Oryctolagus cuniculus: one gene and its partner. The protein of the gene in region 1 interacts with the protein of each later gene in a biochemical or structural test. Links are inferred from orthologs where the notes say so. Each region holds a gene or a part of one and is shown in the gene's direction. Other genes may lie near its edges. The genes, in order: RACGAP1 and ECT2.

Region 1 (3,819 bases):
TTGTTTGTACTTTTTAGTGATACATGTTTACATGTTACATTTGAATACAGTGCTTTAGACTTTCAGAACATTTTAACTTCGTACCATGTGATCCCATTAAAATCCCAAGCAAGCAAACTAGGTCTCGGGGAGTTAATTGACATGTTTGTGCTGTGTGTTAGTAGGAGGTGAGTTTAATGCGCGGCTTTTCTGACCCCTCCTCAGCACGTTCTTTCCATAGTTCCAGGCTGTTGACATCTAGCTGTATGACCTTAGGCAAGTTACTCAAGCTCTTTTTGATTTTATTTCTTTATCTTAAAATGAAGAAACTAAAACCTACCTTAGAGGATTGTGTGAGAATTACATAATATGTATAAAAGGTTTGGGAAGTTGTTTGGCACATACCAAATGCTCAGTGAATGTTGGTTGATGATGATATTTTCTCGCTTATGCCGCTCTGTTCCGTCTCTCATGTTTTATCCTCAGGTTATTAAGCCTGAATCCTGTGTTCCATGTGGGAAGCGAATCAAATTTGGCAAACTCTCTCTGAAGTGTCGAGATTGTCGTGTGGTTTCACATCCAGAATGCCGGGAGCGCTGTCCTCTTCCCTGCATTCCCACTCTGATGGGCACACCTGTCAAGATAGGAGAGGTATGACTTGTGGATTTGTCTGCTTATTTAATTTTTTTTTTTTTTTGGACAGGCAGAGTAGATAGAGAGAGAGAGACAGAGAGAAAGGTCTTCCTTTTGCCGTTGGTTCACCCTCCAGTGGCCGCCATGGCTGGCAGCTGCGGCTGGCGCACCGTGCTGATCCGATGGCAGGAGCCAGGTGTTTCTCCTGGTCTCCCATGGGGTGCAGGGCCCAAGCACTTGGGCCATCCTCCACTGCCTTCCCAGGTCACAGCAGAGAGCTGGCCTGGAAGAGGGGCAACCGGGACAGAATCCGGCGCCCTGACCAGGACTGGAACCCGGAGTGCCGGCGCCGCAGGTGGAGGATTAGCCTATTGAGCTGCGGCGCTGGCCATTAATAATCGTTTTAAGCCAAAATCCCCTCGCCATGATACACTATGGAAAAATTCAGTTATGTAGAGGAATTAGTGTAACTAACTCCTGCTTCCTGTTACTTAACTTCCTGTTAGTTAACTGTTGTTACTCATGTCTTTTTTTGTTGTTGTTAAGATTTATTTATTTGAGAGGTAGAGTTAGAGAAGGAGAGACAGAAAGATCTTCCATCTGCTGGTTCACTCCCTAAATGGCTGCAGCAGCTGGAGTTGGGCTGATCCAAATCCAGGAGCTTAGTCCGGGTCTCCCATGTGGGTGCAGGGGCCCAAGCACTTGGGCCATCTTCTACTGCTTTCCCAGGCCATAATAGAGAACTGGATCAGAAGTGGCCAGTGCAGTGGTGTAGCGGGTAAAGTCACCGCCTGCAGTGCTAGCATCCCATATGGGCACCGATTCAAGTCCCGGCTGCTCCACTTCTGATCCAGCTCTCTGCTCTGGCCTGGGAAAGCAGTAGAAGATGGCCCAAGTCCTTGGGCCCCTGCACCCACATATGGGACCCTGAAGAAGCTCCTGGCTCCTGGCTTCAGATCAGCACAGCTCTGGCCATTGTGGCCTACTGGGGAGTGAACCAGCGGATGGAAGAATTCTCTCTCTCTCTCTGCCTCTGCTCTCTCTGTGTAACTCTGACTTTCAAAGAAATAAATAAATCTTTCAAAAAAAAACAAAAAGAAGTGGAGCAGCCGGGACTTATCTGGTGCCCATATGGAATGCCAGCCCCCTCATGTCAGTTCTTAACTTATCAGTATCCTCACCTCTCCTTGCTGATCCTGCCTATTGAGTTATTTTGAGGCAGTTTACAGCCATCATGTAATTTCTTTTTTTTTTTTTTCAATAAGATTTATTTATTTATTTATTTGAAAGTCAGAGTTACACAGAGAGAGGAGATGCAGAAAGAGGGAGGTCTTCCATTTGCTGATTCACTCCCCAATTGGCCGCAGTGGCTGGAGATGTGCCGATCTGAAGCCAGGAGCTTCTTTCAGGTCTCCCATGCAGGTGCAGGGGCCCAAGGACTCGGTCCATCTTCCACTGCTTTCCCAGGCCATAGCAGAGAGCTGCATCAGAAGTGGAGCAGCTGGGACCCGAACCGGCACCCATATTTGATGCCGGCACTGCAGGCAGTGGCTTTATCCACTATGCCACAGCACCGGCCTCCATTATGTAATTTCGTCTGTGAATATCTGTCATGTTATATATTCCATACTAGGTTATTGAGACGAGGTTTCTCATTTCTAAAAATCAGTTAAATCAGTTAAATTTATTATGTAAGCACCATTAGCAAGGATCAATGCAAAGTAACTGTGCTGCTATCCACTCTGTCATAAATTAAAGGTTATTTCCCCCTAATCTTAAGAGTTCTTATTTGCACATCTGCTGTTGCACAAATTCTCTGTAATATAGAACTCTGTTAGAGGGCCGTGAAACTCTCCTCTGCAGGTAGGTTGGTATCATGGTCATCTATGAGGTGTGTTAAATCATTTTTTATACTGCAAAAAGTTAAATTACAAAGAAGGTTTTTTGTTTTTGTTTTTGTTTTTTTAAGATTAATTGATTTGGCCGGCGCCACGGCTCACTAGGCTAATCCTCTGCCTGCAGCTCTGGCACCCCAGGTTCTAGTCCCAGTTGGGGCACCGGATTCTGTCCTGGTTGCTCCTCTTCCATTCCAGCTCTCTGTTGTGGCCCGGCAAGGCAGAGGAGGATGGCCCAAGTACTTGGGTCCCTGCACCCGCATGGGAGACTAGGAGGAAGTACCTGGCTCCTGGTTTCGGATCGGTGCAGCGCTGGCCGTGGCAGCCATTTGCGGGGTGAACCAACGGAAGGAAGATCTTTCTCTCTGTCTCTCTCTCACTGTCTAAACTCTGCCTGTCAAAAAAATAAATAAAATAAATAAATAAATATTGATTGATTTGAAAGGCAGAGTTACAGAGAGAAGGGGAGAAAGAGAGAGCACAATATATCTTCCATCCCGTGGTTCGGTCCCCAAATGGCCCCAATAGCCAGGGCTTGGCCAGGTAGAAGCCAAGAGCCTGGAACTCCATCTGGGTCTCCCACATGGTTGCAGGGGTCCAAAAACTTGGCTGTCTTCTGTTGCTTTCCCAGGCACGTTAGCAGGGAGCTGGATTGGAATTTGAGCAGCCGAGACTCAAACTGGCGGCCATATGACTGCTGGCATTGTGTGCAGTGGCTTAACTCACTGTGCCACAACGCCAGCCCCAGGAGTTTTTCCTTTTTACAGTATTTATTTTAAAAGCCATACCTATAATTATATTATATTATATTATATTATATTATATTATATTATATTATATTATAAGCCATACCTGTAATCTCATTATTGCTCATTATTGTTGAAGAGAAAGAGGTAATGGTTATGGCTGATAGTCTTATTACCTGTTTGCAAGGGGTTTTTAGGACCATGAATTGGTCCTAGTTTGGAGGTAGGAAAAGAAACTGAGGATCTGTGTTTGATATATGCTTTGGCAATAGCAATTTCTTTTTTTTTTTTTTTTTAAGATTTATTTATTTATTTAAAAGTCAGAGTTACACAGAGAGAGAAGGAGAGGCAGAGAGAGAGGTCTTCCATCCTCTGGTTCACTTCTCAGTTGGCCACAACGGCCAGAGCTGTGCCAATCCGGAGCCAGGAACTTCCTCCAGGTCTCCCATGTGGGTGCAGGGACCCAAGGACTTCGGCCGTCTTCCAGTGCTTTCCCAGGCCATTAGCAGAGAGCTGGATAGGAAGTGGAGCAGCTGGGACTGGAACTGGTGCCCATGTGGGATGCT
Region 2 (3,819 bases), on another chromosome or scaffold:
CAAGACCTTGGGTCCCTGCACCCATGTGGGAAATATGGAAGAAACTCCAGGCTCCTGGCTTCAGGTCAGCCCCACAGCCATTTGGAAAGTGAACCAGCGGATGGAAGACTCCCTCTCTCTCTGCTTCTCTGTAACTAAATGCCTTTCAAATAAATAAATAAAAATCTTTTTTTTTTAAAAGGATTTTTGTTTGTTTCAGGGATTTCTGTGCAACAATTGATGACTTTAGAAATGAATTTAAAGTTCCTCCATTTCAAGATTGCATTTTGAGTTTCCTGGGGTTTTCAGATGAAGAAAAAGCCAATATGGAAGAGATGACTGAAATGCAAGGTAAATTTTAACATAATTTAAAAGTTATGTATATTTCACTTCATCTGTCTTCTTAATCTTTTCTAATGATATGCCTCTTAATAAAATTTTGAGTTTGGAAATAATTAGTTTGGCTTATTTATACTTGCATGCATTTCTCTGTAGGAGGTAAATATTTGCCAGTTGGAGATGAAAGATGTACTCACCTTATTGTTGAAGAGAATATAGTAAAAGAACTTCCATTTGAACCTTCGAAGAAACTTTATGTTGTCAAGCAAGAGGCAAGTAATTCTAGAATGAAATTGGATTAAAAATTATTTATTTATTTGAAAGGCATAGGGACAGAGATAGAAATATCTCCAATCCACTGGTTACTTTTCCAACTGCACAGTAGCTGGGGCTGGGGCTGGGCCAAGCCAAAGCCAGGAGTTTGGAAAGCAGTTTGGATCTTTCGTGTGGGTGGCAGAGACTCAACTACTTGAGCCATCACTGGGACCTCTCAGGGTCTGTGTTAACAGGAAGCTGGAATCAGAAGTAGAGTTGGGATTTAAACCCAAGCACTCTACTATGAGTACCCACTGTGTCAAATACCCACCTTTAAATAGATTTTTTAAAACATTAATAATAGCATGTCTGGTAAGGCAAATTTAAACAATTAATTCAAATGTTCTTTCACCTAGTGGTTCTGGGGAAGCATTCAAATGGATGCCCGAGCTGGAGAAACTATGTATTTGTACGAAAAGGTATGTGTTTTGTCCTTTAGTCATTTGTTCTGTCAACTTGATTATATAAAAATAACACTTTTCTATCTGAAAGGTTTAGAGAACATGATATACTGTGATCTTTTTTGACATGTTTAGGAATTTAAGAAAAATTGGATATCAAGTAAATTCTTAGTCTACTTAGATTTAAGTAGAAGTACTCAATGTAATGGATATTACTTAATACTAATATGCATCATTTTTTTTGCTAATTCTTAGTGGTATCATTAAGAAAAATAACATCTTAAGAAACTTGGAAGCTTAAGGGAAAAACAGATTTGTAAGCAGTTACAGTGCAGAATAATATATGCTACAATTGAGTAATGCAGGATTGAAAATAAATTTTGAACCAATTTACTAAGCTAAGTGGTAAGTGTATTCAGGTTAGAATAGCAGGCGAAAGGATATGAAATCTTGGGAATACATTAAAATAGTAAGTACTTTAACACGACTATTTCTTTTAGTATGGCTTTAAAAAGAGTATAGGATAAACTTCAACGGCAGGATCAAGAAGTTTTTAAAGTGTTAAATAGCTTAAATTTAAGAATTAGGAACTACTGATGAATATTAATAAATATCACTGAAAAGATGATGTTAATAGTAGGTTAGGCAAGGAAAACCCAGCCTGTCTGCTGAATCTCCATGGAAGTTAGTGCCATTCGTCAAAATGGCATTGAGGTATAGAAATAGGCTTTAAGAGAAAGCTTACTTAGCCGGCGCCGCAGCTCACTAGGCTAATCCTCTGCCTTGTGGCGCCGGCACCCCGGGTTCTAGTCCCAGTCGGGGCGCCGGATTCTGTCCCGGTTGCCCCTCTTCCAGGCCAGCTCTCTGCTGTGGCCAGGGAGTGCAGTGGAGGATGGCCCAAGTCCTTGGGCCCTGCACCCCATGGGAGACCAGGAGAAGCACCTGGCTCTTGCTTTCGGATCAGTGTGGTGCGCCGGCCGCGGTGGCCATTGGAGGGTGAACCAATGGCAAAGGAAGACCTTTCTCTCTGTCTCTCTCACTGTCCACTCTGCCTGTCAAAAAAAAAAAAAAAAAAAAAGAGAGAAAGCTTACTTCAGTTTGGGATTTAATAAAGTGAAAATGAATAATGATAAAATAATGAGTAAAATATTGAAGATGAGATATGAGTTTATTATTGTGTTTTCTTCAGGCTGTACTGTTCAGTGTTGTCTTAATATAGATTTGAAAAACTGTTTCAGATTTAGAGAAAGAGCTATTAAAATCAAGTGTTTTCAGCAAATATTGGAGGGTATCATGTCCAGGCACTGCACTAAATGTTAGAGTTACAGTGAACAGAATGTGAGTGGTCACTGCCATTGTGGAGTTTATGGCTGAATGGAAGAGTAGAAAGTAGGTAAATAATAGATGAATAGACTAATAGATGAATATGTGATAGGACTATTAAAGGGAAAAATATGAGGTGGTAAGGGTTAGACAATTAACAGTGATGTCTTGACTATTATGTTTTATAAAGCTTCTAAATTTCTTGGCAGGGTGTAGGATTGTACAAAAATTCAGATTTTGTCAGACTCAAATATATTTTTCTCTTGTTCCTATCTCAGTAAAGAACCATAGAAGTAAAATTGAACTTTTCTGCTTCTGATTGCAGGCTAATACTCCTGAGCTCAAGAAGTCAGTGTCACTACTGTCTCTAAGTACGCCAAACAGCAATCGCAAAAGACGACGTTTAAAAGAGACACTCGCTCAGCTTTCAAGAGAGACAGATTTATCACCTTTCCCTCCCCGTAAACGGCCGTCAGCTGAACATTCCCTTTCTATAGGATCACTTCTGGATATCTCTAATACACCAGACTCTAGCATTAACTATGGAGGTAATTCACATTTTAAAAAGTTGATCTTTATAATTTAGTGGAACGGAATATAGTTAAAGTATAAGTAAATCTCTACCAAGTTGAATATGAAGGGCTTTACCTTGAGTTACCTTTGTTCAAATGGAGAACATACTTGAAAAGATAAGCATAATAATGCTTTTTATTTAGTGACTACTTACTATATGCCAAGTGCTTTATGTATTTCATATACTTATAGTAGGTTTTGTTATCCTTATTTAACATGACTGAACTGAAGTACAGAGAAGTAATTTACTCAGACTTTTGTGCTAGGGAGTAGTAGAGCTATTCAAAAAGAAAATTAACACTAAGTGGAATCACACAAATATGTGAGTTATGGAGAAAATAGAATGAAGTTAGGAAAGGATAAATTTACTGACACAGGAAGGCTGCAATTAATTCCTCTCTCTTTGATCATCAATAATTCCTTATCTTTTTATTTGCATTTTGCAAGCAAATATATTGTCTTTTTTAAAATCTATTAATATTTCTGTTTAGCTGCATATGTTGATAAGATACTAATCGGTTACATATTGAAGAAAACATGCAGTACAGAATATAGAAAAAAACGGTTCTATCCCCTCTTACAGCAAAAATGACCTCAAGGGCCAGAGCTGGGCCAATCTGAAGCCAGGAGCCAGGAGTTTCTTTCTGGTCTTCCATGTGGTTTCAGGGGCCCAAGTACTTGGCCATCTTCTGCTGCTTTCCCAGGTGCATTAGTAGGGTGCTGTATCAGAAGTAGAGCAGCCGGGACTTGAACCATTGTCCATATAGGATGCTGGTGCTGCAGATACCTGATTTTCCACAGCACTGGCTCCCAATATTTTCTAAATTTAAGAAAGAAAAAAATCAAAATCCTTGCTTGACATCCTACTTAATGTCCCATTGTTCTTTTC

What was found.
Region 2: the proteins of RACGAP1 (region 1) and ECT2 form a complex in vitro, tested with the Homo sapiens proteins (3 studies listed by BioGRID and IntAct, with this or other methods). The link is inferred for Oryctolagus cuniculus from reciprocal best matches to the Homo sapiens genes RACGAP1 and ECT2.

What each region holds. Positions count from the first base shown.
Region 1 is NC_091442.1:53,338,439-53,342,257, reverse strand, and holds part of RACGAP1 (rac GTPase-activating protein 1), read left to right. Parts: intron 1-465; coding exon 466-630; intron 631-3,819.
Region 2 is NC_091435.1:107,467,769-107,471,587, reverse strand, and holds part of ECT2 (protein ECT2), read left to right. Parts: intron 1-199; coding exon 200-330; intron 331-474; coding exon 475-590; intron 591-989; coding exon 990-1,052; intron 1,053-2,682; coding exon 2,683-2,905; intron 2,906-3,819. UniProt on the Homo sapiens protein: Guanine nucleotide exchange factor (GEF) that catalyzes the exchange of GDP for GTP. Promotes guanine nucleotide exchange on the Rho family members of small GTPases, like RHOA, RHOC, RAC1 and CDC42.